3 linked regions of the Cricetulus griseus genome follow. The protein of the gene in region 3 binds, or shares a complex with, the protein of the main gene of each other region. Links are inferred from orthologs where the notes say so. Each region holds a gene or a part of one and is shown on either strand. Other genes may lie near its edges. The genes, in order: Ap1b1, IQ motif and SEC7 domain-containing protein 2 and Arf1.

Region 1 (10,525 bases), on a different chromosome or scaffold from region 3:
AAAGAAAACATCTTTGTTCTTCCTCCTCAAAAGAGCTTGCTTTGCTGATAATGCCTGAGAGAACCATTTGGGCGATTCACTTCCTCTTCCTCTCTCCAGAGTGGCTCTGTTCTTGATGGTGCATCATCTTTCCAGGTGATTTTATCCATTGCAGCTCTGAAGGAACATGGCCTGATGGGTATCCACTTCATTTTCTATGTTACCTTGTTCTTGGCATTAAAACCCAAGAATTAAGCTGGGCATTGTAGGCACATGCCTTTAATCCCAGCACTCAGGAGGCAGAGGCAGGCGAATCTCTTGAGTTCAAGGCCAGCCTGGTCTACAGATCGAGTTCCAGGACAGGCTCCAAAGCAATACAGAGAAACCCAGACTCAAAAACCAAACCAAAACAAAAACCCCAAGAATTAAGAGGGAGGGTGATGGTTCAAATTCCAGGAAACTGATCTTTGTATTTCACATCTCAAGGCCTGTAACTCTGGGGTGATTATGGTACCATGTTGGGAAGAGTCACACCATGTACATCAAAGATCGTAGTCAGATCTGGCTCCTCGTGTTGTTTGACATTTCTTAAACTTAGAATTATCAGAAATGGTAACATTTCCTGGGACTGTTAAATGAGATGAATCATGTCCAGCCATTAGCACAAAGCCTGGCACATAGCATATGTCCCAAATACTTTGCTGGTTCTTAGTGATTGCCAAACCTGTCCCTTCAGCCCTGCTTCCCTGAGATGCCCTGGAACCAGCAGCCCAATATAAGGTACGATATGAAGTTTTAGGGAGAGAAGAAAAAATAATATTTTGCAAATACCAGATGCTTTAGGTATTTTCTGTCTCATTAAGTATCACAGGGGCCTGGAGAAGTGGGTTTCTGGAGGTAGGGAGAAGTCCTGGGAATTGAACCCTGGTCCTTGTGTATGCTAGACAAGTATTTTACCACTAAGCGCCAGCCCCAACCTCAAAGTCAATTTCTGTTGCACGTTCTTTACAAATACTTATACTTAGGAACTTATACTTAGGGCCTGGAAGAAGTTTCCCATGAAGCAAACAAACCTTTAAAATCACTGCTTATTTTCCTTCTTCCCCATTTCTCACTGTCATCCCTTCCCTCCCCTGCAGTTAGCTAGCTGCCTGAAAAGCTTGTGTTCTCTGTATTCAACCTCTACTGATGCTACTTTGATTTTGCAGTGCCCTCTTCCCTGATGTGGTGAACTGCATGCAAACAGATAACCTGGAGCTAAAGAAGCTGGTGTACCTGTACTTAATGAATTATGCCAAGAGTCAGCCTGATATGGCCATCATGGCTGTCAACACCTTTGTGAAGGTGAGTAGGAACCCAGTGGGAATGCGGATAAGGACTGCTCACTGTCTCATGTCCCTGTCTCTTTGGAATACTGGGGTACTCTGGCTTGGATGGAATTTTCAGGCACATTTGCAGGCCTGCAGGCTTCCTTCTGCCTGATCAGGCTGAGGGCCTCTTCCTCCAGCAGAGGGCCCCCTCTCTCTCCAGAACCACAGACCTAAAGACTGTGGTTTATTCATTCCCTATGAGGTGGCACTAGGCCTATTGGCCTTTCATTTTCCTGGGCTGGGCCACTCACTCCTCGTGTCTGTTGCCATGGCAGATTTAAGCAAGCATCTGAGAGCAGCTCTATTCCCTTACCAGATGGCTCCTTTCTGTATTTTCTGTTACTAGATGAGCAGAGCATGAACTTGGACACTGAGTCCAGCCCACATACAGGAAAATGAACGTTTCTATGGCTGTGTGTGCCTATAATTCCAGCACTTGGGAGGCTAGGAAGGAAGGTTGCCAAGAGTTGTGGGTCAGTGTAGGCTACATAGTGAGTTCCAGGCCAGTCTCAGCAACAGGGCAAGGCCTTGTCTGAAAAGATTGAGGACTATAGTGCTAGGAGCATATGGGTTTGCATAGCTGCTCTGCTCTGATGGGGTGAGCACAGAACCTTCTGCAGAGCCTCAGCTTCCTTGATTGTGAAACAGGGCCCCAGGAAGCAACAGAGAAAGTGTATAAAGCCCCTCACACAGTATCTGGCAGATGCTTGGCATCCATTCTGTGGCATTTACTTTGAGTGTTATTGGCTGTGGTCAGTGGACACCCCACAGCAGCTGCCTGATGTTGTCTAGAGTTGGAAGCCAGGAAGAATAGGAAGCCACAGATGACTCATCCTGCCCCTGCCCAATGACTGGTCCCCCTTAGGACTGTGAGGACCCCAACCCCCTCATCCGGGCCCTGGCTGTAAGGACCATGGGCTGCATTCGAGTTGACAAGATCACAGAGTACTTGTGTGAACCACTCCGAAAGTGCCTGAAGGATGAAGATCCATATGTGCGCAAGACAGCGGCTGTGTGTGTAGCCAAGCTCCATGACATCAATGCCCAGCTGGTAGAAGACCAGGGTTTCCTGGATACACTTAAAGACCTCATCTCTGACTCTAACCCCATGGTAAGTGCTAACAGCCCTTGGGATGCCCACAGACTTCTGGGTTCCTTGGGAAGAACACCTGGCATGATTCCCACCTGGCTTTCCTTTTCTTAGAAATTAGGTCCTTGAGGAATATCTAGTACCTGTTCCTTGCAGTGGCTTGCAGGGAGCTGGGCCTGGATTTCTTTTGGCCCTCTCAAACTATCTACATGGCTTCAGGAAAGCTGCCTAATCTTGGGATCCCTGTTTGTCTCATTAGACTGTGGGAAGGTGACATACCTGATCTAGCTGGCCTGACCTGGCAAGCAGTGACTCTGCAGTTAGTGCTAGTGTCCTTCCCTTTCTAATCGCTGTCACTGTTACTAGCTCCTAACCAAGACCTGTAATTCCCGAACACATAGCTCTCTTCTAGTAGAGTTGCAGAGATGTCACCTTACAATACTATAGTGTGGAAGACAGGACACCAGGACTCGGTGGGAACCCGAATCCCCTCACTCACTGTGATGACAAGACTTTGCAGTGTAGTTTGTCAGGGCCTGTAACCCCAGCAATCAGTAGGCTGAAGCAGAAGGACTAAGAGGTAAAGGCCACCCTCTGCTATATAATGAGATCCTTCCTAAAAATTTAACACTATGAAAGAAAAAAATGAAATATTCAAAACATTGGGCACAGCCCCTCTCTGTACCCAAACAAAACACTGATTGCTCTTAAAGACTGATTACTATAACACTGTGTCATAGAGGAAAGTTGAAAACATTATAGATTGTACATAAAAGGAGCTGTCTTGGTGGAAACATTATTTGGTAAACCCCTCTATAGTCTAGACCCATCCACTCTCAGCAGCCTTGAAGAGATCTGCAGGATTCTTCTGTCTCTGAGAAGCACAGGTGACAACCACTGCAATGAGCGGCTCTAGCCAGTAGAGGGAGGTTGGACTGGTACTGGGCATTGCCTTCCATTGCTAGGTGCCTGGAGCTGGGTCTTTCTTTCCCTTCTTTCCAATGACAGGTGTACTTATTTTAGTTCTGCTTTACAGAGGAGTCAGTGGGGTGAGTGTTGTAAGTCAGACATTTTTCAGACTCTAAAACCTACCAGTAGGGTCATATTCTTTATCGAGTGTCCCATCTTGACCTACTAGTGTCATTAGCCCCTGTGCTCCCTAACTTGAGCAGTCCCTCCAGCCTCTACCCCTTCCACTCTCAACCAGGTGGTGGCAAATGCAGTGGCTGCCCTCTCAGAGATTGCGGAGTCTCACCCCAGTAGCAACCTGCTTGACTTGAACCCACAGTCCATCAACAAGCTGCTGACAGCCCTTAATGAATGCACTGAGTGGGGCCAGATCTTCATTCTGGACTGTCTGGCCAACTACATGCCCAAGGATGACCGTGAGGCACAGAGGTGAGCATACAAACCCCTTGCTTACCAGCCTGGTTGGATATGGTCCTCATGACCTCTCTGAGCTGGGCCTCAGGCCTGAATGGGCCTCCTTCCAAGACCTTTCTTCTGTCATCAGACATACTTTAAGGGAGCCAGCCGGCTTCTCATCTCCTGAACCATGCTGTCAGTTGTATGGGGTCTGGCCAGGAACTGACAAGGATCCATCTGGGCTGAATGAAGAGCTTTATAGCTTCAGAACCACTGAGTTCTCTAGGTATCTGACCTCTGCTGGGTGCCTTCCATGTTATGTAATGTTTATAGCAGATCTTTGAAATGTATCCCATCATTATTAGCCATCTTACAGACAAGGAGACTGAATTAGAGAGGTGCAAGGAATTGCGTAGTTCACCCAGCTGGGACTGTCTTGACCAACATGAAAGAATTTGACAGTAGAAGGGAAAGAGCTTACATTTAGAGATATTTACTATGTTCCAGGCTCTGTATTCACTGTTTTCACTTAGGTGTCCAACAAACCTGTGGAGTAGACACCGTTACACCAACTCTGAGATGAGGAAAGTGAGGCTCACTGTGTTCTAGGCCTGCTAGAATCAGTAGGCAGCAGACCAGAAGGCCTTCCTCCTATAGAAAACATCCTGTTTTACCTGGAGATAGTTCAGTTGGTGGAGTGATTACTAAGCATACATGAAGCCCTGGGTTCTAGCCCCAGCCCCACATAAACCAGACATGGTGGTGTGTGCATGTAATCTCAGCACTTGGAAGGTGGAGGCAAGAGGATCAGACATGTTAAGACCAGTGGGAAAGCACTTGTCTCACATATATGAGACCCTAGGTTCAGTGTAAGTCCTGGAAGAAAAAGAAAAAGTGGGGGTGGAGCAACCCTTTTCTTGGGCAGTTCATTGGCTACATAGTGAGTTTAAGGCCCACATGGGTTATATGAGGCCCTGTCTCAAAAAGAAAAAGAAAAAAAAAAAAAAAGACATGCTATTTTGATAAGTGAACCAGGACTTTTCCCTTGTCTATCTCTCTTTGCACTACTGCAATGGCTGGACCCCAGCATCTGTGAAAGGGTCACTCCTAGGCTCTCCCATGCCAACTCTGCTGTGGTGCTGTCTGCTGTGAAGGTGTTAATGAAGTTCATGGAGATGTTGTCCAAGGACCTGGACTACTATGGCACACTGCTCAAGAAGCTAGCACCTCCTCTGGTCACACTGCTGTCAGCAGAGCCAGAGCTGCAGTATGTGGCTCTGCGCAACATCAACCTCATCGTGCAGAAAAGGTACAGAGACTGCCATTACATGTTTGCTACATGCTAGAGACAGGGACCTTCAAGGGAAACTGATCTGTCACCAGGCAGGAAGTCTAAAGAGTACTGCAGGGCTCTCAACCAGAGAACTTTACCCCCCAGGGGACACTTATAAGAAACTACCTGGCCTAGGTCAGGGTGTCAATGTTACAAAGCCCTGACTCAGACTTAGAGAAAGCGAATAAGTAAAGGCAAGCATGGTGCTGCTTCGCCCAGACATTTAGTGGCTCAGAGTCTGTAGAGTCCTTCGGGATATCTGAAGATTTTATATGTGTGCAGTTTGCTTGGGGACAAAGTTCATAGGTATCATCAAAATCCTTGAATTTGGAGACCCTAGAGATGGTGAGAAGTCATGGATTTGGCATCAGCCTCAAAGCCTGAAGGGAGAAGTAGAACAGAATGCTGGGCAACCTGCTTCCTTCCTCCAAGGATGACTCCAATAAGTCAGTCACTGTGCCCAAGGAAGGGGTCTGGTGCTTGATGGGTAAGGTCTGAAACTCCATAAGCAGCAGTGGGTCTGCAGTGTCTCTGGAATGGCCTTCTCCTTCCTCTAAGGCAGGGTTCCTGCAGTGTGGTGAGATCCACCTCCCAAACTCTCCTTCCAGCCTCTCTGCACTCAGGGCTTAGCAATGGCAACTCATTTTTACTGTCTGCTGCTAGGAACCAGGACCACAGTAAACAGGGCCCCTTGTGGTCATGCCTTAGGAAATTAGCATACTTTCTTTGTTACAGGAGCAATCTGGTTCTTAATGTCTCTTAGATGGACAGAGATACTTACTGAGCTGGGACATTTATGAAGACTTGGAGAGTAAACATGGGTAAAGTGTTCTAAGTCTCTGAGTAACGTGATATGACTAGGGCTTTGCTGTTACAGTGTGGGTCTCTATATACCAGTGTCCTCGGATCACTGCATTTATTAGAATACAGGAACAAGACCAGCCTGAAGGGTTCTGTGTGCTATATTTAACACAATCTCTTAAGAAGTTGTCTATGTCACCTAGTCATGACGTGGACCAGCCTGACGTGATTGGGCAGCCTTTGTAAAGTCTCAATTGTAGAAGTCATCTTCCTACTACTCATCTCAGAGTCTTTTCTCCCCCATAGAGCACCACAAAAGCTCCTTACTCAGCCAGGCTCTCCACAGTTTGTATGGCAACACAGACCCTTGAACTCCTCTTTCCTCTGTCCCCATCACAGAGCTTCATCCCTGGCTGTAACTTTGTTTTACAATTATTAGTTTCTATCCTGGGAAGGACATAGAAGTAGGAACCAGGATGGTACCTCTTACCTTGTTCTCAACTTTTTAGTTTGTGACAAATGCAAGCTTTGTAACCTCTCAATATTCCCTTGTCTTAGAAAAATGTGTCCCGTGGTACCATTTGAGGGCAGCAGGCAGCAAGGGAGGAGCAGTAGATACACTTAGATAGCTCAGCAGGTGACAGTTCCTATTGGCAAGTGCCTTCATATAGCAGGCATTGATCATGCTAGATGCTTCCATCTCCCACAGTTGACCTATTGTGCAGGAGTCTGTTTGTGTTCAGAGATTGGCTAGCATTTCCCAGTAGTCATTTGTGTTCCTTATCTGAGATTTAGTAGAGTGACCTACATAAGGGAGAGTATAGAAGAATCCATGAAAGGCTTTCTCTTGAGCTTTCCTCTATTGGAAGGTCAGCAGAGAACAGCAACAAGTGTGGAATGTTTCCTCCCAAGGAGCCAAATTGAGACAGGGCACCTAGGGGCAATAGGGCAATAGGGGCACACTATTTCAGGACTGCAGAAGGAAAGCAGGGTTTAAGCATAAACTGTATTGTTTATAAATGGTCTAGGCATAGCCAGCCGTCTTTATCTTTGAATGAACAGGATGAATGTTCCGAGAGTTTGAGTTCATACACACCAGATTCAGGCCTGGGTTAGTAATTATTCCTGCGCAATTCATTCTCATTTCATGAGTAAGGAAACAAGGGTTGAGGTCACACATTGGGATTAGAACCCTGGCCTGCTGCCTACTATCCATGTAAATTACTTTTCCTTCCTGAGATGTGACCCAGCAAGCTGTAGCCAGGAAGAACCACTACCTATGGCCACACAGTCATGATTATTGTTCTGCCTCCCTGGACATCAAGCTTCACCTATAGCCCAGGAATTCCCCAGCAGATGTGGAATGACGACTCATGGGTCTTATGGCTTCTTTTTTATTCTCTGGGCATCTTGCCCCACCACCAGGCCAGAAATCTTGAAGCATGAAATGAAAGTTTTCTTTGTGAAGTACAATGACCCCATCTACGTGAAGCTGGAGAAACTGGACATTATGATCCGCCTGGCCTCCCAGGCCAACATCGCCCAGGCAAGCAGAGTATGGTGGTGTGGGGCACAAGCTTTGGTGTCAGACAACTTCCTAGGTGTGTCTAGGTCAGCATGCTCACTGTGACATTCTATCTCATGGAGAGTTGTGGATGATAGAGCTCTGTAAGCAAGCAAAAACAACTAATGTCTGTATTAATAAAGAATATTCTCAAGCTGTCCACAAAGGTACACTCCTGAAGTCCCAGATACTTGGGTGGCTGAAGCAGGAGAATCACTTGTCATAAGATCAAAACTACCTTGGACAACATAAATAGACTCCCTATACATACTCAAAAAATTCTCCTTATTCTCTCTATTATTATCTATCATTTATTCACTAAAAAATGGTAGTTGGTCACCTAGGGATATGGTACAATTGGTAAAGCACTTACTAGGGGCAGTCATGAAGACCTGAAATTAATATCCAGAACCTATGTTTAAAAATCTGTGTGTGGGAACTGAAGAGATGGCTGGCTCCATAGTTAAGAGCACTTACTACTTTTTCAAAAGACATGGGTTTAGTTCTCAGCACCCACAGAGGGTCTCACAACCACCTGTAACACCAGTTTCAAGGTATCTGATACCTTCTTCTATCCTCTGTGGCACCTACCCCCTCCCTACACACATACCCCACCCCCCATATCACTGGTTCTCTCTCTCTGTCTCTGTCTCTGTCTCTGTCTCTCTCTCTCTCTCTCTCTCTCTCTCTCTCTCTCTCTGTGTGTGTGTGTGTGTGTGTGTGTGTGTGTGTGTGTGTGTGTGTCTGCCCCCCCCTCTCTGCCTCGGTCTCTCTCCCCATCCCCTACACACACAGTCTGGTGTAGTGCACTGGAGAAGTGGAGACAAGCAGATCCCTGGGGCTGACTAGCCAGCCAGCCAGCCTAGCCTCACTGGCAAACCCCAGGCCAGTTAGAGACCCTATCTCAAAACAAAAATAACAACAAAAGTAGATTGATCCTGGGAAATGACACCCAAGGATGTCCTGGCTTCCACATGTGGAGACATGTGTATAAGCGTACCTCCTTATGTCTGCCTCCCCACCGCCTCCGCCCCCCACAAAAAAAGCAGTAGCTGAGGCTGAAAAATGTAGTTTGGGGGTAGAATATCTACTTAGCATCCCCAACACCACACACACAAAATGAGGTTCTTGGATATAGTAGCTGTCAGTGTAAAGCAAGGTTTGTTGAACCTTGCTACATAGTCATCCTCTACCTTCCTTTTGAATTCTCTTCCTTTTGAGGAGCCTGATGACACGCTCCCCTGAGCCGTCCATTGTGAGCAGACAACAGAGTCCCGTCCCTTTGGGAGTTCATGCATTTCTGTTACCCAAGTATTCTAACAGATTGTTCCATCGGATATCTCCAATCCATTTTCTGTTTGGATCACAGGTATTGGCGGAACTCAAAGAGTATGCTACAGAAGTAGATGTGGATTTTGTACGGAAGGCAGTGCGTGCCATCGGTCGCTGTGCCATCAAGGTGGAGGTGAATAGGTTCTGGGATTCCATTCCTAGCCAGGGAGGGAGAAGGTTGTTGAAAACAGAAAGCCAGTCTGATCCTAGAAGCTGTTTATGGTTCAGGAAGTCCAAGGGTCACCAACAGGGCCTCCAAGGTACCCACTACACAGAATTACATTGGCTCTTTTTCACTTCAGGCTCTTGAGTTGTAACAGGTGAAATGATGCCCCTGTAATGATGGTTCTTAATGATGGTTCTCCTACAGCATTATCTAAGGCCACAGGACAGCCACCAGCTCATGGAGTTCCTGTTAGACTTACCACAGAGATCTGCGGCAGGACCTCTGCCTGATAGATACTTCAGAAGATACCTTGATTGAGCTACTGGGCTGCTTCTTCTGACCTACTAAATCACTCTAAACCCAGTGCCCTGACATTTCATTCTCTCCACTCTGCCTGGGGAGCTATTCCTTGACATTGACCTGTACACAGTGGGTCTGCTGGTGGCTTAAGGACCCTGGGATAGCTGGTCATACCCACTCAGGACCCTGAAAACAGCATCTTAAGCTGTTTTCCCCTTGATTTTTATTATTGCTCTCCTGAGACATCTGCCCCTTCGGGCTATTATATAGTATGTAGAAATAAAAGCAAAAGACTAGGTACAGAAACTTTGTAGGTCTAGCCATTGCAGCCAATTTTATGAAACAAGCCAGAGAGATGGGGCCAAATAGGGTCACTCAGCCCTTTGCCTGGAGGAACTCCCAATGACCTCACACTTTCAAGAGCTACACCTCTGGCTGTCTTGTGTTCTCATTCTATCTGTGTGTCCTTTTCATCCAGGGCCCTCATTTGGCCCTTGTCCTCTGCCTCCCCATTGTCAAGGGAAAGAGATCTGTTTTCATGCTATAATAAAGAAGGTGGGCAATGGGTCTGAAGCTGCTTGACTGCAGCAGGATCATTAGCCCAATTGGAAACTGTGTGCAGAGACCTTGCCTACACTGCCTCTTCTTCCCACACAGCAATCTGCAGAGCGCTGTGTGAGCACATTGCTTGATCTCATCCAGACCAAGGTCAACTATGTAGTCCAGGAAGCCATTGTGGTCATTAAGGACATCTTCCGCAAGTACCCCAACAAGTAGGTGCCCACCCCGCATGGGAAGAGAGCAGCTCGGCTTCCTCTTCCTCCTTTCCCTTTCTTCCCATTTCATAGCTTTCTCAGAAGAAACTTTTTGTCTTTTTTGTTCTTTTACCCAAGCTGGCCCTCCAGGCCAAAATAAGATCAGCTAAACTCCAGCTAAACACCCCCTGTCTTCACCATCTCTCCGGGTCTGGGCAGCTGCCTATCTGACTTGGCCCTTAACCCTCCACCACACACATTGGCCAAAATTCCTTGGTGCTTACCTGCTGGCTCAATCCTGCTTTCCTAGGTATGAGAGCGTGATAGCCACACTGTGTGAGAACCTAGACTCCCTGGATGAGCCTGAGGCCCGGGCTGCTATGATCTGGATAGTGGGCGAGTATGCTGAGCGGATTGACAATGCAGATGAGCTGCTGGAGAGCTTCCTTGAAGGTTTTCATGATGAGAGC
Region 2 (10,488 bases), on a different chromosome or scaffold from region 3:
TTTAATCCCAAGCAAACAAAAAAAGAAAAACCAAGCACAAAAAGCTGGGTGATGAGATAGCACTAATCCTTGACCTGAGTTTGATCCCTGGAATCTACACAGAGGAAGAAAAACGGTGATTCACAAAAGTTATTCTCTGACCTCCACCATATGTGCCACTGCTTTCCATACCCACCATGCACACAAACACAAATAAATACATAAATAAGTAAATAGTCTTCATTAAAGAGAGTCCTGGGGAAAGTGCTGAGGAGATGGGTCATTTGGTACAGTGTTTGGCATGGAATCAAGAGGACCTGAGTTTGATCCACAGCATCCATATTTAAAAAAAAGCCAAGTAATCAGCAGCACTGAGGTAGAGGTAGAGACGGGAGGATCTCTGAGGTTTAGTGGGAGACCCTATCCCCCGAATAAGATGGAGAGTGACTGGAGAAGATACACAACATCAAGCTCGGGCTTGCACACACACACACACACACACACACACACACACACACACACACACACACACACACACACCCTGGGACCACCAATGCTCACACTTCCTAGGGAAACATTCTCCTATTCTCTGCCCCTGGCACTACAAGACAGGGACTGCATGGTCTAAGCCCCTCACCCTATAGTTGACAGCAGAAGTCGGCCACCATCATGACACTGATGAATTTGGGCTTGGTTTAGTTTTAGTTTGGGGCCTTTTTTTTTTCTTTTTCTTTTTTTTTTTTTTTTTTTTTTTTTTGGTTTTTCGAGACAGGGTTTCTCTGTGTAGCTTTGGAGCCTATCCTGGAACTAGCTCTTACAGACCAGGCTGGTCTCGAACTCACAGAGATCCACCTGCCTCTGCCTTCCGAATGCTGGGACTAAAGGCGAGCGTTACCAACACCCGGCTTTTTTTTTTTTTTCTTTCTTTTATTTTTTTGGTTTTTGAGACAGGGTTTCTCTGTGGCTTTGGAGGCTGTCCTGGAACTAGCTCTTATAAACCAGGCTGGTCTCGAACTCACAGAGATCCACCTGCCTCTGCCCCCAAGTGCTGGGACTAAAGGCGTGCGCCACCAATGCCCGGCCTAGTTTGGGGCTTTCTGAAACAGGGTGTCAAGTGTACCTCCAACTTGCTATGTAACTCAGGTTGCCCTTGAACTCCTAATCTTCCTGCCACTGCCTCCCACAAGTGCTGTGTTTATAGGCATGTGGCATCACACCTGGTTTCTACCCAAATTTCAAGAGATGCCAGGACCCCTAACATGCAACCCTTGAGAGTGCAACAGGCAAAGCTGTGAGGGTGAAGTTGAAAAGTCTATGGAAGTTGAAAAGTTCCAGGAAATTAGAGATGCCAGGGAAATGGGAACATTTTGCTGAGTAAAGTTTCAGCCAGCCAACAAGGCCAGCCCAAGAAAGGGGCTACAATAGAAGGGCCACAGGGGCAGGGCTTTCCAGGCCCTTTGGATGTCACATTACGATACACATGACCTAGACACCAGACATGAAGCAACAGAATGTAATATTCATCTGACTGGGTTTTCAGCCTTGCTTTAGTCCTATCCCTCCTTTCTGTATTTTCATTCCTTCCTTGTGGAATGAGAATGTTTACTCTGTATTACTACTGCTTTGAATTCTCTAATTCTTTTTAATTTTAAAAATTCCATTCATCGGGGTGAAGAGACGGCTCAGTGGTTAAGAGTATTTAACTGCTCTTTCAAAAGACCTGAGTTCAATTTCCAGCACCCACATGGCAGCTCACAACTGTCAGTAACTCCAGGATCCAGCACCCTCACACAGACATATATGCAGACAAAACACCAATGCACATAAAATAAGAATAAATTTTAAAAATTAAAAAATTTCATTCATTAATTACTAAGTATGTGAGAGAGGGGGAGAGGGAGGGAGAGAGAGAGGGAGGCAGGGAGAGAGAGAGATGGACTTCTGAGATCTTGACTAGGACACCCTGTGACAAACTCCCAACTTTTGCATTGATTTCTGTAGGCGACTGAGAGCAGCTGACTGTAAGTGTGGCAGGAGGTAGGCATTTCACATGTTATCAGCTAACAATGTATCAGCTAACAATGTATCAGCTAGCAATTGTCCTGAAAAACTTTTTGTTTCCATTCTAGAGGTCAAAAACCAGGCTCTCAGGGGTCAGGTGAATTGCCGAAGAAGCATGGGTCAGTATCTGAGTGCTAAAGGCTAACCATTACCAAGATACAGCCAGTCACTAGCTGAAGGTAGAAAAATTGGGAGAGACCAAGGAGAGCCTAGCATAGCCCACCAAGGAAGAAACCAAAACATGCTGTGTGGACCCCACATCTGGGCTCTTCAAACACTCAGGTCGGATCCACCAGGAGGCACCAAACACTTACATGGCTCTAGCTGCTGCTCTAGTTATCTTCTTTGGGTGGCCTTTCAGCATGCTTTACCAGGAAGAAAACAAAAGCACTGATCCAAGAAGGGTAGGGTCCTCTAAACCATCCCACCATTGCAGATCCTAGGAAAGCAGCAAAACTGCCAACTGAATGTTGTCTGGGGACCCTGCTGAATCTAAGAGCCATTACTCTGCTCCATCTGTCCCATGTTAGGCTGAGACCCAAGGCATAACTACTGATGCTAGAAATGGGTCCATTTTACAGGGACACAGCTTGGGGCAGTGGAAATGGGTTTGGGCAACAAGTAAAGAAAACTCATCTTGCCAGGTGTTGGTGGCTCATGCCTTTAATCCCAGCACTCAGGAGGCAGAGGCAGGAGGGTCTCTGTGAGTTCGAAGACAGCCAGGTCTACAGAGCAAGTTCCACGACAGCCTCCAAAACTACACAGAGAAACCCTGTCTCAAAAACACCCCCCCAAAAAAGAAAGAAAGAAAGAAGCCCCATCCTAACTTGCTGTCTGTTCTGTCTCCTCTGTAAATGAAAGACAGCTATTTGTTATTTAGTATTCTAAGTATATACACAGAGCTCAAATAAAGTATTTAGACTTGAGCCTTCCTAGCTCATCACCTCCCTGGTCTCAAAAACAAAAATATGGCCAGCCATTGCATGGAGAGTCAGTAGCAGGGATTTCAAGGCAAAACCAGGCCAGTCACAGGAAGAGTGAGAACAGAGGCCACACACTTTCACATAGCCACCCTCTACAGAGAAGACAACTAACTTGCTGAATACCTACTCCATCCTAGCTGCTTGGTATTGATTACTTCATGCAGTTAGCACAATTCCATGTAGCTGTAACTAGACTGGCAAAAAATGAAGATATTCTTTTTTTAAATATTTATTTTTATTTTCAATTATATGTATGTGTGTATCCATATGTGAGTTATATGCAAGTGAGTATGTTGGATCCCCCAGAGTTGTGGAGTTATAAATAGTTGTGAGCCATCATTTGGGTTCTGGGAATCAAACTCCAGTCCTTTGCAAGAACAGGAAGTGTTCTGGGTTTTTGTTTGTTTCTTTGTTTCGGTTTTTGGTTTTTCCAGACAGAATTTCTCTGTATAACAGTCCTGGCTGTCCTGAAATTCAGGACCAGGTTGGCCTCAAACTCCCAGAGATCCGCCTGCCTCTGACTCCCAAGTGCTGGGATTAAGGGTGTGTGCCACTACTCTCTGGGCCAAGAAATGCTCTTAATCTCTGAGCCTTCTCCCCAGCCTGAATATTTTACAGAGACATTTGTGCCTCTCAATCTATCAGATTATTGAAACAATGGGCTCCAAAGAAAGGGAAATTCCCCAGGAATCTCATGCCAGAAGGAGAATTTGTCTCCAGGAAAGAGATTTTACCCAGTTCTAACCATTTTATAGGATGAGACTGAAGCCCATAGAAAGAAGGGCCAATGGTGGCTTGGACCACACCTTGACCTCAACTACTTCCATGTGCCTATCCTTGGCCCTTTTTTTAAAACTTGGACCTACCTTCAGGACCCTGAAGACTGACTTGGGGGTTTTCTAGACCCCTTTATTTGTCTTCCAATATGGTCACATTGAATCAATCTCTTATTCATTCTGCTTTCAACTTTTAATTTGGCTCTTTTAATTTGCTTGTCAACAAGCCAATTAAGAAACTGACTTAGGGCAGAGGTTGTGACCTCCAAGTTCGATAGCATAACAATATGCGGTCATCCCAGGTGGTAAAGTGAAGTGACTAAGACTTGGGAGAGTCATTCCTTGAAAGTCTTGTGCCTCAGTGAAACCCTCAGGGTATGTACTGGATCAACACAAAGGCCCACACTCCTGCCACTGTCATGCAGAGGACATAAGAAATGAGACAGGAAATCCACCCTCATCTACACTCCTACCCAAGCAAAGCATCTTGCCCACCCAGTTGTCTGAATTACCATTAACACATCACCTCCCCAGACGAGTGCCTCTCTCTCCATGGGCTCCACAGTGAAGGGGGCATAAGTAGGAGGCAGAGGCCAGAGGTGAGCACAAGGTCTTTTATGAGGCATCAAATATACATTCTTATATACAAGGAGGGAAAAAGACAATGCCTGGACCCCCGCTCCTCTCCACACAGTCCCTCCCACCAACACCCTCCCACAACCCCAAGCCCCGGGGACCCTTTGACATAGAGGGTCCTTCTGTCTGTCTGTACTGCAGCCCATACTGGACAAGGGAGAAGAAGGCAGGGACTGTGAAAGGAGCTGGATGTATAGGGCAAGAAGAGGAGTTGGGACTTGTAAAAAATATATTTATAATAAATAAACAGGGCTGTGAAAGGACTGGCGAGGCAGTGGAGATTTTGATGAACAAGAGGGGCTTGGGCATTCTGGCTCGCAGCCCCAGCTCTGATGGCTTCGATCTCTGCCTCAGGAAGGACATCTTGGGCTCAGGGTGATCCTCTGGGAGTCTTTCCCCAGGGCTGATGCTGGGTGCCCTGCCCCAGTGTGATATGTGTGGGTGATATCTGTAAAGTGCATTGTCTTCAGATGTAGGTGGGGAAAGTAGAAGGAATGGGGGGCATGCAATATGGGTGAGGGAGGGTAGTACCCTTCTCATCCCAGACCTGAGCCCCCCGCCACCTCCAAAAAAAAAAAAAAAAAAAAAGACTTTGATCAGGATAAGAACATTGCAGAGGGCAAGGCAAGTTCCTGAAGCCAAAGAGGTCTGGGCTGGGGCTTATTAGGAGAGAGGGCACACACAGACTGGCTCAAGAGAGGAAGCAGTGCCCTCAGTGAGGGGCCAGCACAAGCAGGGTTCCACCCACAGAGTGCACGGAAGTCTGTGTCCTCCAGCAGGCAGAAAGACACATGGAGGTGTGTGGCTAGGCCCTGAGGTTTGGCCACAGCTCTACAGAGCTCTCTCCTAGCCCCACACAGCCAGAGGAGCTCCAGGGAAGCCTTCACCCCCACAGCTCCAGAAGCCTGCCTTCTCCACCAGCTTGCAAGGAAGCTCACATTTGCCCAGAGGTCTGAGGCCACCCACTAGACCTCCAGGGACAAGAAAGAGAAGAGGAAGACAGGAAACGGAGGACAAGGACTGCGGAGAGGCCCTTACCACTTCCCAGCACTGTAGTGCCCTAAGTACAGGCTGCAAGTGGCAAGGGCCCTCCGATCCAGAAGGAAACCCCATGACAACTGCCAGGGGTTGAAAGAAGGGTCTGGAGGTGTGGAGGAAGTGGAAAAAAGGACACTGCTGAGTGTATATATATTTAGAAAAAACTGAGGAAGAAGAGAGGGGGCAAAGTCCCTCTCCCGTGGATTTCCCCAGACTATCCTGTTCCCCAGGACACTCATCCCATTCCTCAGACCACAGTGCTGATCCGGCTTGGCTTGGCCTTGGGGTTTGCACTGGGTGGATTAGCCGTGCCAGGGGGCCCAGAGGCGTGCAGTGGGCCATGGGGGGAGGTGGGTGGTAGGGGTGAATGTGGGGTGTGAGGTGAGGGTGGGGGCAGGGGTGGGTAGGAGGGGTGAGGTGGGATGGGTGAGTGTGGTGACAGTGGTGACTGGGGGTGGTGAGGGTGGGAGTAGGATCCCCCTGGTGGCCGGGAGCCAGGGCCCCCAGCTGCACCTGCTGCTGGCATCATCTGTGGGTGGTGACTGAAGATGAAGTGCTTGGGGCCCTGTTTATGGGCAGGAGGGTGCTGTGGAGCAGGACTGTACAGGGGTAATGGGGATGTGGGCTGGTGCAAGGGATGGCGGCCATGTGGAGCAAACTGAGGGTGTCCTCCAGTCCCTCGTCTTGGGGCTCTCCCTGGCCGGCCCAAGGTATAATGCTGGGGTCCTGGAACTGGGCCATGGGCATGGAAGTGTCGATGTGGCCCCACAGGTGGGGCTGAGGCAGGTGGTGGTGGAATGGAGCCCAGCTGGGGCAAGGGTGGAGGCTGCTGAGGGGGTGGAGGCAGAGGGGGTTGCTGGGGTGGGAGGTAGGGTGGTGGGGCAGGGCCCGGTCCTTGGCAATACTGGGCATGCAGGGCCTGGAGCTTGGACTGCCCATCAGGTAGCACCCCCATGCCACCATGGCTGTGACCATGGTGGTGGTGGTGATGGTGGTGGTGGGTGGAGGAAGCAGATGAAGACGAGGCAGAGGCCTGGCCTGTTGGCGGTGGTGGCATCTGGAAGGGCCCTTTGCCTCTCTTGCTTCCAAATAGGGAGCCCAGGAAAGATGAGGAGTTCGAGACTGGCCTCTGGCTCTTGTACTCCTCTGGCGGCGGGGGTGGGGGCGGAGGTGGCATCCTCTGGTGAGGGCGTGGACTGCTAATAACAGACCCCTGAAAGGGGGGAGGGGGGGAAGTCAGGCCAGTCTAAATATCCTAAACCCCCAACCCTAAACTCCACCCCTGTCCCTGAAGCTGGAACAACAGGGATTCCCAAAGTAACAGCAAAAACCAAACAGCAGTCCTGTATTTGTGGCCAGCTCTGCTCCCCAGCTCTGTTGCCACATCCACTACCTCAGTTGAACCTCAGAGGGCAGAGGAAGAATCAGTAGGACCTCCTTCTCATGACCATTTCTCAGGCCAAGAAAATGTTAGGCCTAGAAAGGCAGAGTAACTCGCTCAGGGTCAAAGAGCAGGATTTGGAGGTTAACGTTTCTTGAGGCCCAAGTCCAAGGGCATCCCTATTTGGAGTTGGCCCTGGGGTTAAGAAGGGGCATGGGAGAGTGGAAGACAGACTGAGAGACAGGCAGAGTGAGGACAGACAGAGTTGAGGACAGATGGAGAAAGTGGTTGGCTGGGAGAGTCAGCCATATGGTTCCCAGCACGGAAGAGGGGTAGGCAACAGGTCCCCTCCTCCTCTGGGGCTCCATGGCCAGGGCGGGGCTCATGCAGAAAATGAGTGGGGCAGGAGCGGACACTTACTTCGATGGTGCTGTCCAGCGATCCCACGCTGTTACGCCGCCCCCGCTTCCCTGCACCCACAAGCAAGGAGCCCAGCGTCAGAGCAGCAACCCTCCCTCCCCACCCTGCTGGGCTCCAGAGCTGGGCACCAGGCCTAGGTCCCTCCCAGGGACAAACACCCCTTTACCCCTCTCCCCCATTGAAGAGGGGGAGGTAGGGAGGAGGAGAGGTTGAGAAGGAGGAAAGAGAGGAGGAAAATATGGAGGAGAGGCAGTAAAGGAGAGACAGAAGAGGGAAAAGAGGAGAGGGGCTGAGTCTGTGGCCCCACTTTATACTCCCTGGCAGAAACCCTGGGCCCCACCTGTTCTGACCTGGCTACCAGGCCCCCTGTGACATAGTGCCCAGGGCTCTGAAGGAAGGGTGTGTGTGTGTGTGTGTGTGTGTGTGTGTGTGTGTGTGTGATGGAGGAAGGCTAACAGCCAGTGACAGGAGGCAAAAAGGACACCTGGTCCCGCATCTCCCCAGTCAGGGCAGGGGCCCAGAGCACTTACCTGCATCAGAGAGGTCTCGCAGGGAACTACTGAGTGCACCCCGCTTGAGCCCATCGCCTGCCCCATAAGTGTCCTCCAGACTACTGCGGGCCAGAGTCCCATTCACTGAGTCCTTGGCTCCTCCAGGCTGTGAGGCATTAGGCCGCATCATACCTTTCTGCTTCTCCAGCTCCGCTGGGTAGCAGTGGAGAAAATGGGGAAAGATCAGGAATAACACTAAGAACCCACCTGATAGACTAACAGCCTTCCTCACTTTTCCTCCCTCCTTCTGCTCCCCAAGCTTCCTGCCCCACTCCCACCCCTCTATTAGTACCCCCCCAAACTGCAATTCTATCTTCAAAGCTCCTTAGGTGCCTAGCTCACCCTATGCCACCTAACCCTTCTTTTTCTTTCCTCCCTGAAAGTATAGGTGCCTACACTTCCTGCTCCCTTTTCTTTACCCTATTGTAGACAGGCCTCCCTAATCACTCCTGCCACTTATTTATTTATTTTGAGATAGGGTTTCTCTGTGTAGCTTTGCAGACTGCCCTGGAACTCACTTTATAGACAAGGCTGGCCTCAAACTCACAAAGATCCACCTGCCTCTGCCTCTCGAGTGCTGGGATTAAAGGCGTGCGCCACCAATGCCAGGCTCACCCCTGCCCTTTAAACAAGAGCTTTACAACAGATGGCTCACAGTAAGGATGGGAAGGCCCTTCTAGCCTATGGAGAAAGACAGTCCTTTCAAAGTTCACTCAGTTTTCAGATGCCTTGCTTCATAGCAGAGGAGCTCTTGGAACAGCAAGGGCAGGAAACTGATGGGAATCAAACCCTCTATTATGTGCCAGACAGGATGCTGGGGACAGCACACACTTGATCCCTCTCATTCCACATTATGAGCATCATCTACATTGCAGAAAAAGAACCTGAGAACTTGACAAGTCAGAGTCTGCTCACGGTAGGACAGTTGAAATCGGTAAAGCAAACATTCTACAAGCAGGTCTATCCTGCTCTCCTGGCCCCCATACCTCCAATGAGGTCAGGAAAACTGGTCTAGTGGGCCTCTCCTTATCTTTATATGGCTGATCTCCTGCCTTCTATTCCCCCAGGGGTTCCAGGACTCTACTAAACTGATAATGCGCCTTCCTGAAGACCTATTAAGGAACTGACTACTGCTTCTGTTTCTCTCTGCCTTCTTCCTCCTCGATGCCATGTTACTTAACTGTGACTGCTTAGCTTAGAAAAGAGAAAACCTGGAGGGCATCAGGAAGAATGAGATAAAAATCACTATTTTCCATCGTCTATGATCGAAAACACTTGGCGTAGGCCCTGGTTATTGAGCTGGACCTCAGCTCAGGAGCTGATACTGAGGAGAGGAGATAGTGAATGGTATTATTGGACACCATGGATGCACTGGTCTCTTCTCTCTTCCTTTCCTTCATCTTCAACTTCTCCTCTCCTCTTCCTTTTTCTCTTCCTCCCCTCTCTTTGTGAGAGACTCACTACATAGCCACGGCTGGTCTGGGAACTTCAAATCTTCCTGCCCCAGCCTCCCCAGTACTGAGATTACAGGTGTGCAACCACTGTGTCTGGCTCCTTGTCAAACTCCATGAAGATTTCTTTATCCCGGTTTCATCTGAACAAAGGGTTCAGAGGGCCATGGAACTCACCCAAGTTTGCCCAGATAACAAATAGCAAACATGAAGTATGAAGCTACAGTCCTATCTCCTATGCCCTGAGTCTTCTCCTTGATACCATGCAACAGAAGGAAGAGTTGGCTCATGATTAGAGGGTGGCTGTGGAGGCCACAGCATAGACTCACAATGACTGGAATCATCTGGGGTTAGGAAGCAATGGGCTCCTAGAAGCTGAAGGGTTCCTAGAATGAGGGGTAGGAAGGTTGGGCAAGCTGGCCCTTAACTCAGAATATAGGATTTTTGGTGTCTGTGGAACATTGTATCATGACAGGAGTAGCTACATGACTGTAGCTACTCACATTCCACACGGTACTTCTCCATCTCCTGCACTTCAGCAATAGACTCCCGCAGGTCAGAGGTAAAGCGCAGCCTGTCTTGGAGGCTAGGAGCATTGAAGATGATGAGGACTTTTCGTTCCCCTCCAGGTACCGCAGACAATAGCTTGATCCCAAACTGATAATCTGCAGCAATGAGAGCAGACAGAAAAGCTGGGTATTTCTTTCTTTTAATTACTTTTATTTATTTTCTTATTTTACATACCAACCACAGTTCCCCTCTCCCCTCCTACTTCCCCCCTCTACCCCCAACCCACCCCCAATCTACTCCTCAGAAAAGGTAAGGCCTCCCATGGGGGGTCAATAAAGCGTGGCACATTAAGTTGAGGCAGGATCAAGCCCCTCCCATGTGCATCAAGGCTGAGTATGGCATTCCACCATTGGGAATGAGCTCCAAAAAGCCAGCTCATGCATCAGGGATAGATCCTGGTCCCACTGCCAGGAACCCCACAAACAGACCAAGATATACAACTGTCACCCACATGCAAAGTGTCCAGAAGCTGGGTATTTCTGTCAGGTTTGAAGCAAAGTGGCTAAGACAAGAAACTGAGAAATGATACAACCCACTCCCCATTGCTGCCAAGCATCTCTGAGACAGAGTCATCCTATTTGGCTAGTCTCAAATTCCTGGGATCAAGTAACTTTTCTGTCTCTGCCTCTCAAATACTGTCCT
Region 3 (10,625 bases):
GGATCAGTCTCTGAGATATCCCCACTTCAGTGTTGAAGTAGGCCCAGGGTGAATCTCTTTTTATTCTGATGTTCTGCAGTTGTAAACCAGCTCCCTTTATTCTTCTTTGGGCTGCACTCATCAAGAAGCTCACGGAACTTGTGTTGATTGATTTACCATGAGAATACTTAGCAAGGATACAGATGAAGACATATAAGAGGTCAGGTATGTGGCAGCGGTGGGGCTTCCATGTCCTCCTTAGGGTTTTATAGACATTTTATTACATGGGGTGATTGGTTAAACCACTGGCCATCAGTGATCCCCTCAATCTTCAGCCCTTCTTCCTTCTCTGGGAGCTGAGATGAGGCTAAGGGTCCCCATCCTCTGATCCAGCCTTGGTCTTAATATATATATATATATATATATATATATATATATATATATTAATGGAATACACCTCACTTCCAGATTCCCAGGATTTTAGGAACCGTATTTTAGAAAACAGAATTTTTTTCTCACTCTCCAAGCCTGAAGAAAGAAGTGGTATAAGCATTAGGGGAAAAGCTGGGTTTGGGGGCCCACACCTTTAATTCACTTGGGAGGCAGAGGCAGGTGGATCTCTGTGAGTTCAAAGCCAGCTAGATCTACATATCAAATTCTAGGATAGCCAGGGCTAAACAAAGAATCTCTCTCTCTCTCTCTCTCTCTCTCTCTCTCTCACACACACACACACACACACACACACACACACACACACACACACACACAAAGAATTAGGGAAGGGCACTGCTCTCCCTGTATTTCTCCCTCTGGGAAGTCATTAAGGGTGTAAAGTTCCTCTTGCAACCAGGTACTAGAGGTCCAGAGTTTTGATTGTATGAGCATGCTGAACATAAGACAAAATACCAAGTGGAGTCCAAATGAGACTTAATGCTATGCAGAATATCCCTAAAGACACTGTGAAGTTACTTTTTCAGCCAGTTAGCCTGCTCAGAGACGCCTGCTGGGAAGGGCTTTTGAGAGCTTGAGGGCAAGCAGAGTAGATCAGGAAATACTACAGGTGTACTCCAATCTGCCCAGTGTATAAAACTTCCCCAACAGGCTAGATTGCCTGGTACAGTGATGAGCTCCCTGGGAATCCTATGGTGGGAACCCATAGGAACCCTGGAGAACACTGTAGTCTGTAAAAGAACCAAAGTACCCGAGTCCTAAGAGGCCAAGTAAAGAGCCACATGCCTGGAAATAGTCAAACATGGAGATTAAACTCCTTATCAGTTGGCTCAGATATGTGCCAATTGTATGTGCGTGTGCGTGTGTGTGTCATACATACATACATGCATACATACATACATATGGAATAAGACTTCTACATTTCTAGGCATCAGTAGCCTGGCATGAATGCCACCCATCTTACATATAGAGGCTGCACAAACTGTCTGGGGGAATGGATGAGGTCCTCAAGGCACAGAGTTCCTTTTACCTCCCACTGGGTCTTGTCTCCTGGGGGCATTCCTGACTCTAGTCCTTACTCTAGGTAAGGTTATCTCTCTAGCAACCTGGAGAACAAGAAGCTAGGCCACTTGGCATCCATGCCTCTGACTAGGTCCTTGGGAGTAGGTTGGTCTAAAGGGAAGGGCCTGGACTTTGCTTTGGTGTATGATCAGCTAAAGGGGAGGTGAGGTGCCATAGGCACTCCTACCTTCCTAGTATACAGGTAGTTGAGGATTCTGAACACCTTTCAGTGAGCTCACTTCGCCCCCTCCTGGACAGAGCTTGTCCATGCAGGGACTTCAGAGAGGAAAAGGCACTCTGACCCGAAGCAACCTAGGTGGAGGAGTTAGCCTCAGTTTATCCAAGCAACTGACATTTCCTGGTAGGGTCTGTCCTCAGACATGCTCACTCAGGGCTCCCACAGATATGTATGCCCTTTCCGCCCCCCACCCCCATCCCCACCCACTGGGACAGGGACCAAAACAGAAGCACAGTGAAAGAAGGAAGTATGTTTCTTAACTTGGGAGTGGGCAGACAGCAATCTGTTGATCATTTTCAAAACTGTATCTTACATAAACCCCATCTTGTCTCTCCATTATTTCATTTTGCTAAATTCTATCCCCCCCATAAAGTTTCTTTGGATTTTTATTTCTTTAAAAATGATTTTGAAGATTTTATTTTTTAAAAAGTAAAGATTTTATTTAAAATGGTTTTGGTGATACATTGCTTATGATCTAATAAAGCAACTGGAGATCAAAATGCAAAGCTAGCCACAGCCAGAGAGCCAGGCAGTGGTGGTACACACCTTTAATCCCAGGACTAGAGAGACAGAGGCAGACAGATCTCTGTCTGTTCAAGGTTACACTGAGCTACATGAAATTGATTTAGTCTAAAAGAGAAAACAGCTCACACAAAGGTGATCTCAGCACTTGGGATCACACACCTTTAATCCCAGCACTAGGGATGTAGAGACAGGAGTGATGTGGCTGGGCAGAGAAAGGAATATAAGGCAGGAGGAGACAGGAACTCAAAGGATTTCAGTCTGAAGCTTGGTGGAGAGCAGTGCAGTCTGCGTTACACTCTGAGGATTCGTGGAGACAGGATCACCCATTTCAGTCCTAGGTAGAGTAAGAGCTAGTGGCTGGCTGCTTTTCTTTTCTGATCTTCAGCTTGAATCTCAATATCTGTAACTGGGTCTTTTATTATTCGTTTTACAATTTTTTAAAGGATTTATTTATTATGTGTACAGTGTTCCGCCTGCATGTATGCCTGCAGGCCAGAAGAGGGCACCAAATCTCATTACAGATGGTTGTGAGCCACCATGTGCTGGGAATTGAACTCAGGACCTTTGGAAGAGCAGGCAGTGCTCTTAACCACTGAGCTATCTCTCCAGACCCCCTGTGTTACAATTTTTAAAAGATACTTTTTAATTGTATGTGTGTGTAAGTGCAGATGATTGTGGAGGTCAGAAGCATCAGATCCCCCAGAAATGGAGTTATAGGCAGTTGGGAGTTGGGAAAGGAACTTGGGTACTTTGTGAGAGAAGTATGTCCTCTTAAGGGCTGAGCCATCTCTTCAGCTCAGTTGTCCAATTCCCTTTTTAATATACACTTCGGGATGGAGAGATGGTTCTGTGCATAAGACTATTTGATGCTCTTGTAGAGGCCTTGAGTTTGGTTCCCAGAATACAAATGGCAACTCATAAACACCTGTAACTCCAGTTTGGATTTATTTATTTTATTTATGTATGTGAGTGCCTACAAATATGTATGTATACCACAAGAGTGCCTGTTGCCTAAGGATGCCAGAAGAGGGAGTCAGATCCACTGGAACTGGATATATGATTCAACACTCAAAGTTTATGTGCAATATGAAAATTTCACTGGAGGTTTAAACCCGACCTGGGGAGGTGGGAAGAACCTATCATCCATTGAACATTATTAAGTATCCATAATGGCTATTTAAGTTTTTAATGGACACAAATAATTATTTACAGGGTATAGTGAGTTTTGGGGCATGAATGTACAGTTGCCAGGTTAGGATAAATGGATGGACTACCACCCTATCTATTTTGCCACAATTTTATCTTTTTAGGAACAGAAAGGGTTTGTTCTTGATTAGTAATCTGTAGTTTTCCTTGACACTCTGTATCTTTGTCTTCTCATCTATAAAGTGGCTGTGACAGGCTTCTTATATGGCTGGGATCACAGGCCTCTGGGTATGTCCTGCCATTTTTCCAGGGAATGAAGAGCTAGCACCACCCAAGGCTTTGCATGAATACTTGCTGTGTGTTGAGGGTGGGAGATCAGGCAGTTATCTCCATAGAAACTTACAGAAGTGGTACTTAAAAACCGGAGGTCTAAAGCCAGGCGGTAGTGGTGGCACACGCCTTTAGTCCCCACACTTGGGAGGCAGAGGCAGGTGGATCTTTAAGTTCAAGGCCAGGCAGGGGTATGCAGAGAAACCGCATCAAGAAGGTGACCATTTCCTAGAACCCTGACAAGTTTAGCACCCACAACTCTTAAGAGAAAGCTCTGGAGGTCTCAACCCCCCAAACAACAGCGAGGATGCCTGGACACAGTGTGATTGATTAATCTAGGCCCATGTAACAGAAGTGCCTCCTGCCAATTCAACAGATAGGGCTCCAGGTTTTTTTTTTTTTTTTTTTTTTAAATGCCCTAGGTCCCTCAACATCTCTTGCCTGTGGGATTCCTCACAATAAATGAGGTGGAAGAACTGGACAGGCCTGACAGAGCGTGGGTCTGATTCCTGCATAGATGGGGAGGCAAGCAGATTTCTGCTGCTTCTGACCAGGCAGGGAAGGCTTCTCAGGGAGATGTAACAGGTTCCTCCTCTCCTGCACCCTTCAGGAGGCCACCCCATCAGGGGCAACCTAGAGTACCCTCTCAGGCGGTGCTAACTCCACACAAGTCTTTGGGTCAGCTCTGAGAGTGCACACAGGGCCAAGGCTAGCGTAGGGGCACGGTACCTATCTGACACTTGGTCTGCGCCTCTTTCCGCTCTGGCTACTTGTCAGTGATATCATTATCTTCAGTGCCCAGGGCCAGCTGGAATATACCTCTGAGAGGAACATCACACCCCCTCAGTGCTGACACGACCTTCCCACTCTGACCTTGGCGCTCTAGAACGCTTACTGTCCTCAACCCCCGCATCCGAGGAATGGGCAGGAATTCCGCAGGAAGGCGCGCGTGCGCACGCGTCGATGGACACGGAAATCCACCCACCACACCCTTGTGCGTTCTAGTCCGGGGAAACCGGTGTGTGCTAGCCCGGGGCCGCGATCCGGAAGCAGAGCGACTTTGGCCCCGCCCCGTGAAGGCTACTTGGTGCAGACGCGCAAGCGCCATTCATCTAGGGGCGGGGCCTCAGGCGTGCCCGCCCTCTTCCCCCGGCGTGCCCCGCGGCAGGCGCTGACGTGGCTGCCGTCAGCGCCGCCATCTTGTGGGAGCGAAACCAACGCCTGGCTGGGAGCAGCCGCCGCGGAGGTGAGGCGCTGGGCGCGTTGGGGCTGAAGCTGGGGAGGCCACGGGCTGGTCATCGTGGGCGTCGAGGGGCGCTCGGTTCAAGCTTCTAAGGGCCGAGTCTGGTCGGGCGGGCCGGGATCTCTGTCTAGCGGACCTGACGGCAGGCCGGGCAGTGGATCGGGGCTCCCCCAGTCCCGCGTCGCCCACGGCCGCTTGGCCCTCCCCCACTCCGCGGCCCATACGCCTGGCCGCCAGCCGCGGGCCGCAGCCCGGAAGTCCGGCCGGGACGCCGGCTCCATTCCAGGAAGCCAGGTTTCCTGCTGTTCCTCTCTGCGCCTCTCCTAGGTTCCACGGCCCGGGAGCTCGGGAACGGGGAGCAGGGCTCGAGGGGTACGGGGGGGGGTCTCCCTTCTAGAAGGGCTAGCCGGAAGCTTCAGATACGGCACGGACCTTGGGGTAGGGGAAACTGAGGCTTGGGTGGCCCTCAGACGGCGTCAAGGTCACTCGGGTGGCGAGGTCTTCCTCCTCTGTGTCTCGAGTCCGGTTCCTGTCGGCCCGGAGGACCGGAGCTGTAGGAGGTGAAGGGCTGGGACCGGTGGAGCGGGGCTCCGGACTGCTGAACCGGGTGCTTGGATTTAACAAGCGCATATGCGGATTTCAGTGGATCCCAAGTGCCCACTCTGATCCCTAGTGAGCCGTGATTTGTGCCCCACACTTTTCTGGTGAGATCTTCATTGAGGTTTGCACTCAAGGGCCCGGTGGCCTCTGCAGGAGTTGAGCCTTGTTTTACCTCTTGACTGACCCCCTTGATGCTCCTTTGGGTGGATTAGAAAGGCCCTTCTGAGTTGGGGAATCTTTAACCTGGCCGTGGAACAACCTGCTCCCAGGTTCTGAGCAATCTGCTTGTAACAAGAGGCCAGATCCAGTGTACAGTTCTGGCTGTCCAGTCAGGGTGGCCATGCCGTGTCGGACTGTATGTAGCTGAACCGTTGCATGGTACCTAAGTGGGAGGGATTCTCCCTTCCAGCAAGTGGCTGTTTTGCTGGAAAAGAAAGGGGCAGCTGCTCCTGTTCCCAGAAGGCACCAGAGAGCCCAGTAGTTGATGCCACAACCAATGTTGGAGTAGTCCGTTGTAGTTCTTGTTTCACAACTAGTGGTCAGCAGTTTTTCCTGCAGGCTGAGTCTGCAGTGAGTGTAGAACAGAAGACTAGTGAGATGCCATGGTGCTTTGGGTGCTGACTCCATGTCCTTTCTCTGTCTTAACCAGTGTCTACAGTACCTGACATGGGTGACTGCCTGTAATGTCCTCACCTTTGAGCTTTCAGCAGCACTGTCTCACATAGCCTGGACTGTGAGATTTGATGAAGAGTGTTACTCTCTGACTTCTCTGTTTTCTCCAGAGTTGTGAGCTGTGTGGTGTAAGGGCCAGTCACAGATTTGTGAGCTACATTGTTGTAACTACATTGTCTCCTTGGCATGAAGGTTTCTCTTGATGGAATGTCTATCGCTTTCATCCCTAGGTATCTTGTTGAAAATGAGTCTGACTCACTGGTTCACCACACTGTTGTCTTGCTTGTGAGGCAGATGTAGAGTTGCTACTTCAGAAAGGTTTAAGAGCTAGGGGTAGAGTGCTTTTCCTAGCTTGTATAAATGGTTTGGCTCTCTAGCACTGCACACACAAGGTTTAACTGTGAATAACAGCTGACTCATACTCAGTCTACTTATCCTGGAAGGAAGGTAGCAATAGCTAGTTCTGTGCCCCTCATTTACAGTTATAAGTCATGTAGCTGAGATGTCCACTATACCTCTTGAACAGTAATTCCTTGTAGAGAGGATCTTTGTTCCATTTTGGTTGTTGCCTCAGCCCAGGACCAGGCAGGATTCAAACTACAACCTTTTATTTATTTTTTTCTTTTTTTAAGGTAAAGGTAACTTAGACCAGCAGTTACTGTGGTGACGACCCAGTGTCAGGCAACCTAACCAAGAGAAAAAACTTGTTGTGCAGGTTCATGCAATAGCTTGTCAACAATGGTTTGAGAGTATTGGGTCAATGTTTTTCAGATTCCTTGAATTAAGTGTTACATTAATGTGCAGGGTTTTTTTATTTTGAGACAAGGTTTCTCTGTGTAGCCCTGGCTGTCTTGGAACTCTCTCTCTCTGTAGACCAGGCTGGCCTCAAACTCTGAGATCTGCTTGCCTCTGCCTCCCTAGTGCTAGGATTAAAGGCCTAAGCCATCACTGCTCAGCTTGATGTACAGGTTTAAATCTACTGTTAATCACAAGGGCTGTCTATGTGTGTCATTTGCACTGAGGAGCCCAACAGACCCCTGCCTGCTCTAGTTTGCTATGTCATTCATGGTCTGTCTGTCTGTCCATCCCTATTTTCTCTCATGAATCCCTTTGACTTTTGATCTTCATGAAATTGTCAGTGATGGTGAGGAGAGAAACATGAAAATTCCTTTTGTGTGTATGCTGTATCTCCCCTGTCTCTCTGTCTCTCTGTCTCTCTCTCTCTCTCTCTCTCTCTCTCTCTCTCTCTCTCTCTGTGTGTGTGTGTTTGTGTGTGTGTGTGTGTACACATATACACGCATTGGGATTTCTCACTACACACTGAGGTTTATGTTCAATATTGATTGTGATACAGATTGCAGGTAATAGCTTGTGGTGTTACTTGTTAGTGTAGGACCTTTTAGGTGTTCACCACCCTGTCCTACTACATATACAAAGAAGTGATGATACTAATTAGGGCCCATCTTCCACAATATTCTTATCTGGTCCTGTTCCCTGAAATTTTTACTCACATTGGTAACAGGGCTTGGCTGCCTGTCAGTAGCCAATATACTAGGAAGAGTGGCACTCCCTGCAGGCCCTGATATAGGGAACGTTTTCAGTAGTAAGAGGAATTGATAGAAAATAGGAACATAGGCTGTTTATGGGGAAGAGTTTGACTGTGTAGTTTGTAGTACAGGTTTGCCCTAAACTCCTGCCCCAGCCTCTAGAGATTACAGCCTGCTGGGATTACAGGTGTGTGCCCCCATGCTAGGCAGGCATATTTTTATAGACAGCAGTTGGGGGTGATTAAGTTTATGTGGTAAACAGCTCCCCATATTTCTGAGGATCTGAGAATTACTGCAGTATAGCATGAGTGAGACTTGGTTATTAAGGAAACTTTCTTAATCAGTATCTATAGAGGTAAGTATACATGTTAAAGGGATGCTAGCAAACTAGTTCTTTCCAACAGGCTCCTTGTGCTTGATGGCTGTATGTTAAACAATAACTTTTTGTCAGTATCAGTTGTCAAAATATTTTTGCAATGGCTTATACTGAAACAGGGAAGTTTGTGGCCCAGATTCTCTATGTGTCCTCTGACAAGTTTTTCTTTCTTTCTTCCTCTCCACCCCCTTTTTAAAATTCTGTTGGTATGATTTAGGTGCTTGTTTCCAAGAAAAGGGTTGAAAAGGGTTTCTAGATTTTAGTGAGAGTCATTGCTGAAGAATGAGAATGAAGGCAGAGCTAGATGGCCTGCAGTGTGTGTTCCTCTGGAGCTTCCTGTTCTGTAGATAAGAATGCTCTTCTTTCTTGTTTGATTCCAGGAGCTTATATTTAAAATACTCTGTCTTCTAATGACTTTGGTGGTAAACTTCTGCTTGGCATTATTTTCAACTTTTAACATTTCTGTTCTGTTAAAGGTCATATCAGACTTTGGACATACCGAAGTGATCAACTGAACTGTGTGCTTAGAGCTAGCAGTTCTTGAGGTAGGTTTGACGCACACCTGAGTATCTAGATGTTACTGGTGTAGGAATGTTAACACAGAAGCACACTTGTGCATAGTTTAAAAATAATGCAACATTGCTTGTTGGCCCTGTAGTTTCCCTGAAGGGATTAGCTTCTCTAGGTGTGTGATTTTTTTTTTTTTAATTTTTAAAAAAATCCCAGTGGCCTTGATAAACCTTTTTTTTTTTTTTTTCCCAGTGCTTGTGAGGAAGAGGCAGGTGGATCTCTGAGTTTGAGGCCAACCTGGTCTACAGAGTGAGTTCCAGGATGGCCAGGACTATTTCATAGAGAAACCCAATCTCAAAAACAAAACAAAACACTTCTATTTCTTCTGATAAGGAGTCACCTGTGAGGGGCCTAGTGGAGGAGGCGGCCTTACTTAGCATTGGATGAAAAGCTATTTGCCCATGTATGCTATTGGAGTGTTCATCCCAACCATCCTAGAGTGACATGGGCAGGTACTGGGGCCTATCCAAGGAGGCAGAACTGTCACCTCACAGGTGACGTTTATGCAGAAATAAGATAAAGATTGGCAAGTTTGAGGGAGAAACCAGAGGCTTCTTAGTAGCCCAGGACAATTGATGCAAGGGCTCCGAGCTGAGTAAGTGTACTGGAGTTTGGAAACCAGCCAGGAGCAGTGAGAGAGAGGAGGACTAAAGAGAGGGTGGTCCTGGTCCCTGGTGCAGCTTTGTAGTCCTCAGAAAGGATATTTTGAAATCTGTGGGAAGGAACCCTTTGCTTCTCAGGTAAGGAGGCAAGTCTCTGGCACTTAGCCACTTGTGTGGTTTTCATGTAGATGGAAAATCCCTCTGTGATAGCCTAAGTTTGATCACAGAAAGATAATGCTTTTCTTTGGCATAATAGTAACAGATGTTCCAAGTCTTCCAGGAACCCAGCTTTAACTACCTTGTAAGGCAAGGGCAGTGCATTTTGTTTTCTTCAGTGCCTTACAAAAAGTTGTTCTCTGTTTTCAGGAAAAAGGTTATTTCTCTGCGGTGGCATGCCCTTGAGATTGCTGTGGTTGTCATTTAGTGCCTCAGTAGCTTCCCACCTCCCTTTGTCCTATATATGGGGGTGGCTGGGCCTAGCATTAAAGCATAGTTTCACTAGAAGTTACTTCCCATTGTGTCTCTGTGATGTCATTGTTGAGGCAGACTCATGGGGATCTTCAGTCTTGTGCAAATGTCAGGTTATCTATTGGCTTCTTTTCCAGATGGCTGACTTAGTGGACTGAAGGGTGTGGTGGGCACCACAAAGTCCCATGGCTACTGTGTGTGACGGTCCTGACATCACAGGTGTTACTTTGCACCTGATTAATTCAGTTGTTGTGGAGTAGTTGGGGGTGGTAGCAGTAAGTCTTCATGGTTTGAGTCTGAAGAACTGGGTGGGAATTTGGGAAAGAGGGAGATTTTGGTGGAATACCTGGCTATGGAAACGTGGCGGATCCTTACCCTGAAATTGTTAGAGAACGCCCCCGGTGCTGGTTTGCCTGAGGGGAGGCCTCTGACAACAAAGTTGAGGCATCAACAGGTGTGTGTTTTAGAGAAAAGCTTTTCTGCCATCAGGATAGTGGGGGAGTAGTTGAGTAGTGTGTGGTCAGCAGTTCCTGGCTCAGTGAGGACAATGGACTTGGGGAAATGTGGTCTTTGTCCTTCTGTGTGTGTGTGCCTTACTCTAGCAGGGTGGGGCAGGACTGCAGCAAAGCTGAGGGAGCATAGTGACAGTTCAGCCTTCCGTACACTTTATTCTTTTGCTTCCTCCTGAAGAGCAAGTGTCAAAAGAAGGGGGCAGGGCACTCCCTACCCTCTGAATGAAAGTCACCTGAAGATAGAAATAAAGATTTTTGTTTTTTCATTAAAATATGTATTGTTTTTTAATTTTTAAATTGTGTGT

The links.
Region 1: the proteins of Arf1 (region 3) and Ap1b1 are in contact, whole or in part, in a cryo-EM structure (PDB 7R4H), measured with the Homo sapiens proteins. The link is inferred for Cricetulus griseus from reciprocal best matches to the Homo sapiens genes ARF1 and AP1B1. Residues at the interface, in NP_001019397.1 of Homo sapiens: Glu17, Met18, Tyr35, Ile46, Thr48, Ile49, Gly50, Phe51, Asn52, Val53, Glu54, Thr64, Trp66, Lys73, Leu77, Arg79, His80, Tyr81, Gln83, Asn84; in NP_001118.3 of Homo sapiens: Asn23, Asp25, Pro52, Asp53, Val55, Asn56, Met58, Gln59, Met83, Ile85, Met86, Ala87, Val88, Asn89, Thr90, Val92, Lys93, Tyr121.
Region 2: the proteins of Arf1 (region 3) and IQ motif and SEC7 domain-containing protein 2 are in contact, whole or in part, in a crystal structure (PDB 6FAE), measured with the Homo sapiens proteins. The link is inferred for Cricetulus griseus from reciprocal best matches to the Homo sapiens genes ARF1 and IQSEC2. Residues at the interface, in NP_001019397.1 of Homo sapiens: Arg19, Gly24, Leu25, Asp26, Ala27, Lys30, Thr31, Ile46, Pro47, Thr48, Ile49, Gly50, Phe51, Asn52, Val53, Glu54, Thr55, Thr64, Trp66, Asp67, Val68, Gly69, Gly70, Gln71, Lys73, Ile74, Pro76, Leu77, Trp78, His80; in NP_001104595.1 of Homo sapiens: Arg810, Gln811, Gln841, Arg845, Val846, Gln847, Gly848, Glu849, Ala850, Gln851, Val853, Glu854, Glu858, Asp879, Phe882, Ile883, Phe886, Ala887, Ile889, Leu890, Asn892, Thr893, Asp894, Tyr896, Ser897, Pro898, Ser899, Val900, Arg904, Met906.

The regions. Positions count from the first base shown.
Region 1 is NW_023276807.1:99,876,139-99,886,663, reverse strand, and holds part of Ap1b1 (AP-1 complex subunit beta-1), read left to right. Parts: intron 1-1,187; coding exon 1,188-1,323; intron 1,324-2,214; coding exon 2,215-2,460; intron 2,461-3,646; coding exon 3,647-3,837; intron 3,838-4,891; coding exon 4,892-5,113; intron 5,114-7,363; coding exon 7,364-7,484; intron 7,485-8,871; coding exon 8,872-8,967; intron 8,968-9,957; coding exon 9,958-10,073; intron 10,074-10,365; coding exon 10,366-10,525. UniProt on the Homo sapiens protein: Subunit of clathrin-associated adaptor protein complex 1 that plays a role in protein sorting in the late-Golgi/trans-Golgi network (TGN) and/or endosomes.
Region 2 is NC_048604.1:107,282,996-107,293,483, forward strand, and holds the end of IQ motif and SEC7 domain-containing protein 2, read right to left. Parts: intron 9,942-10,488; coding exon 9,780-9,941; intron 7,979-9,779; coding exon 7,805-7,978; intron 7,325-7,804; coding exon 7,275-7,324; intron 6,687-7,274; coding exon 5,721-6,686; 3' UTR 5,005-5,720; downstream 1-5,004. UniProt on the Homo sapiens protein: Is a guanine nucleotide exchange factor for the ARF GTP-binding proteins.
Region 3 is NC_048600.1:73,282,948-73,293,572, reverse strand, and holds the start of Arf1 (ADP-ribosylation factor 1), read left to right. Parts: upstream 1-4,835; 5' UTR 4,836-4,976; intron 4,977-8,644; exon of another isoform or gene 8,645-8,713; intron 8,714-10,625. UniProt on the Homo sapiens protein: Small GTPase involved in protein trafficking between different compartments. Modulates vesicle budding and uncoating within the Golgi complex. In its GTP-bound form, triggers the recruitment of coatomer proteins to the Golgi membrane.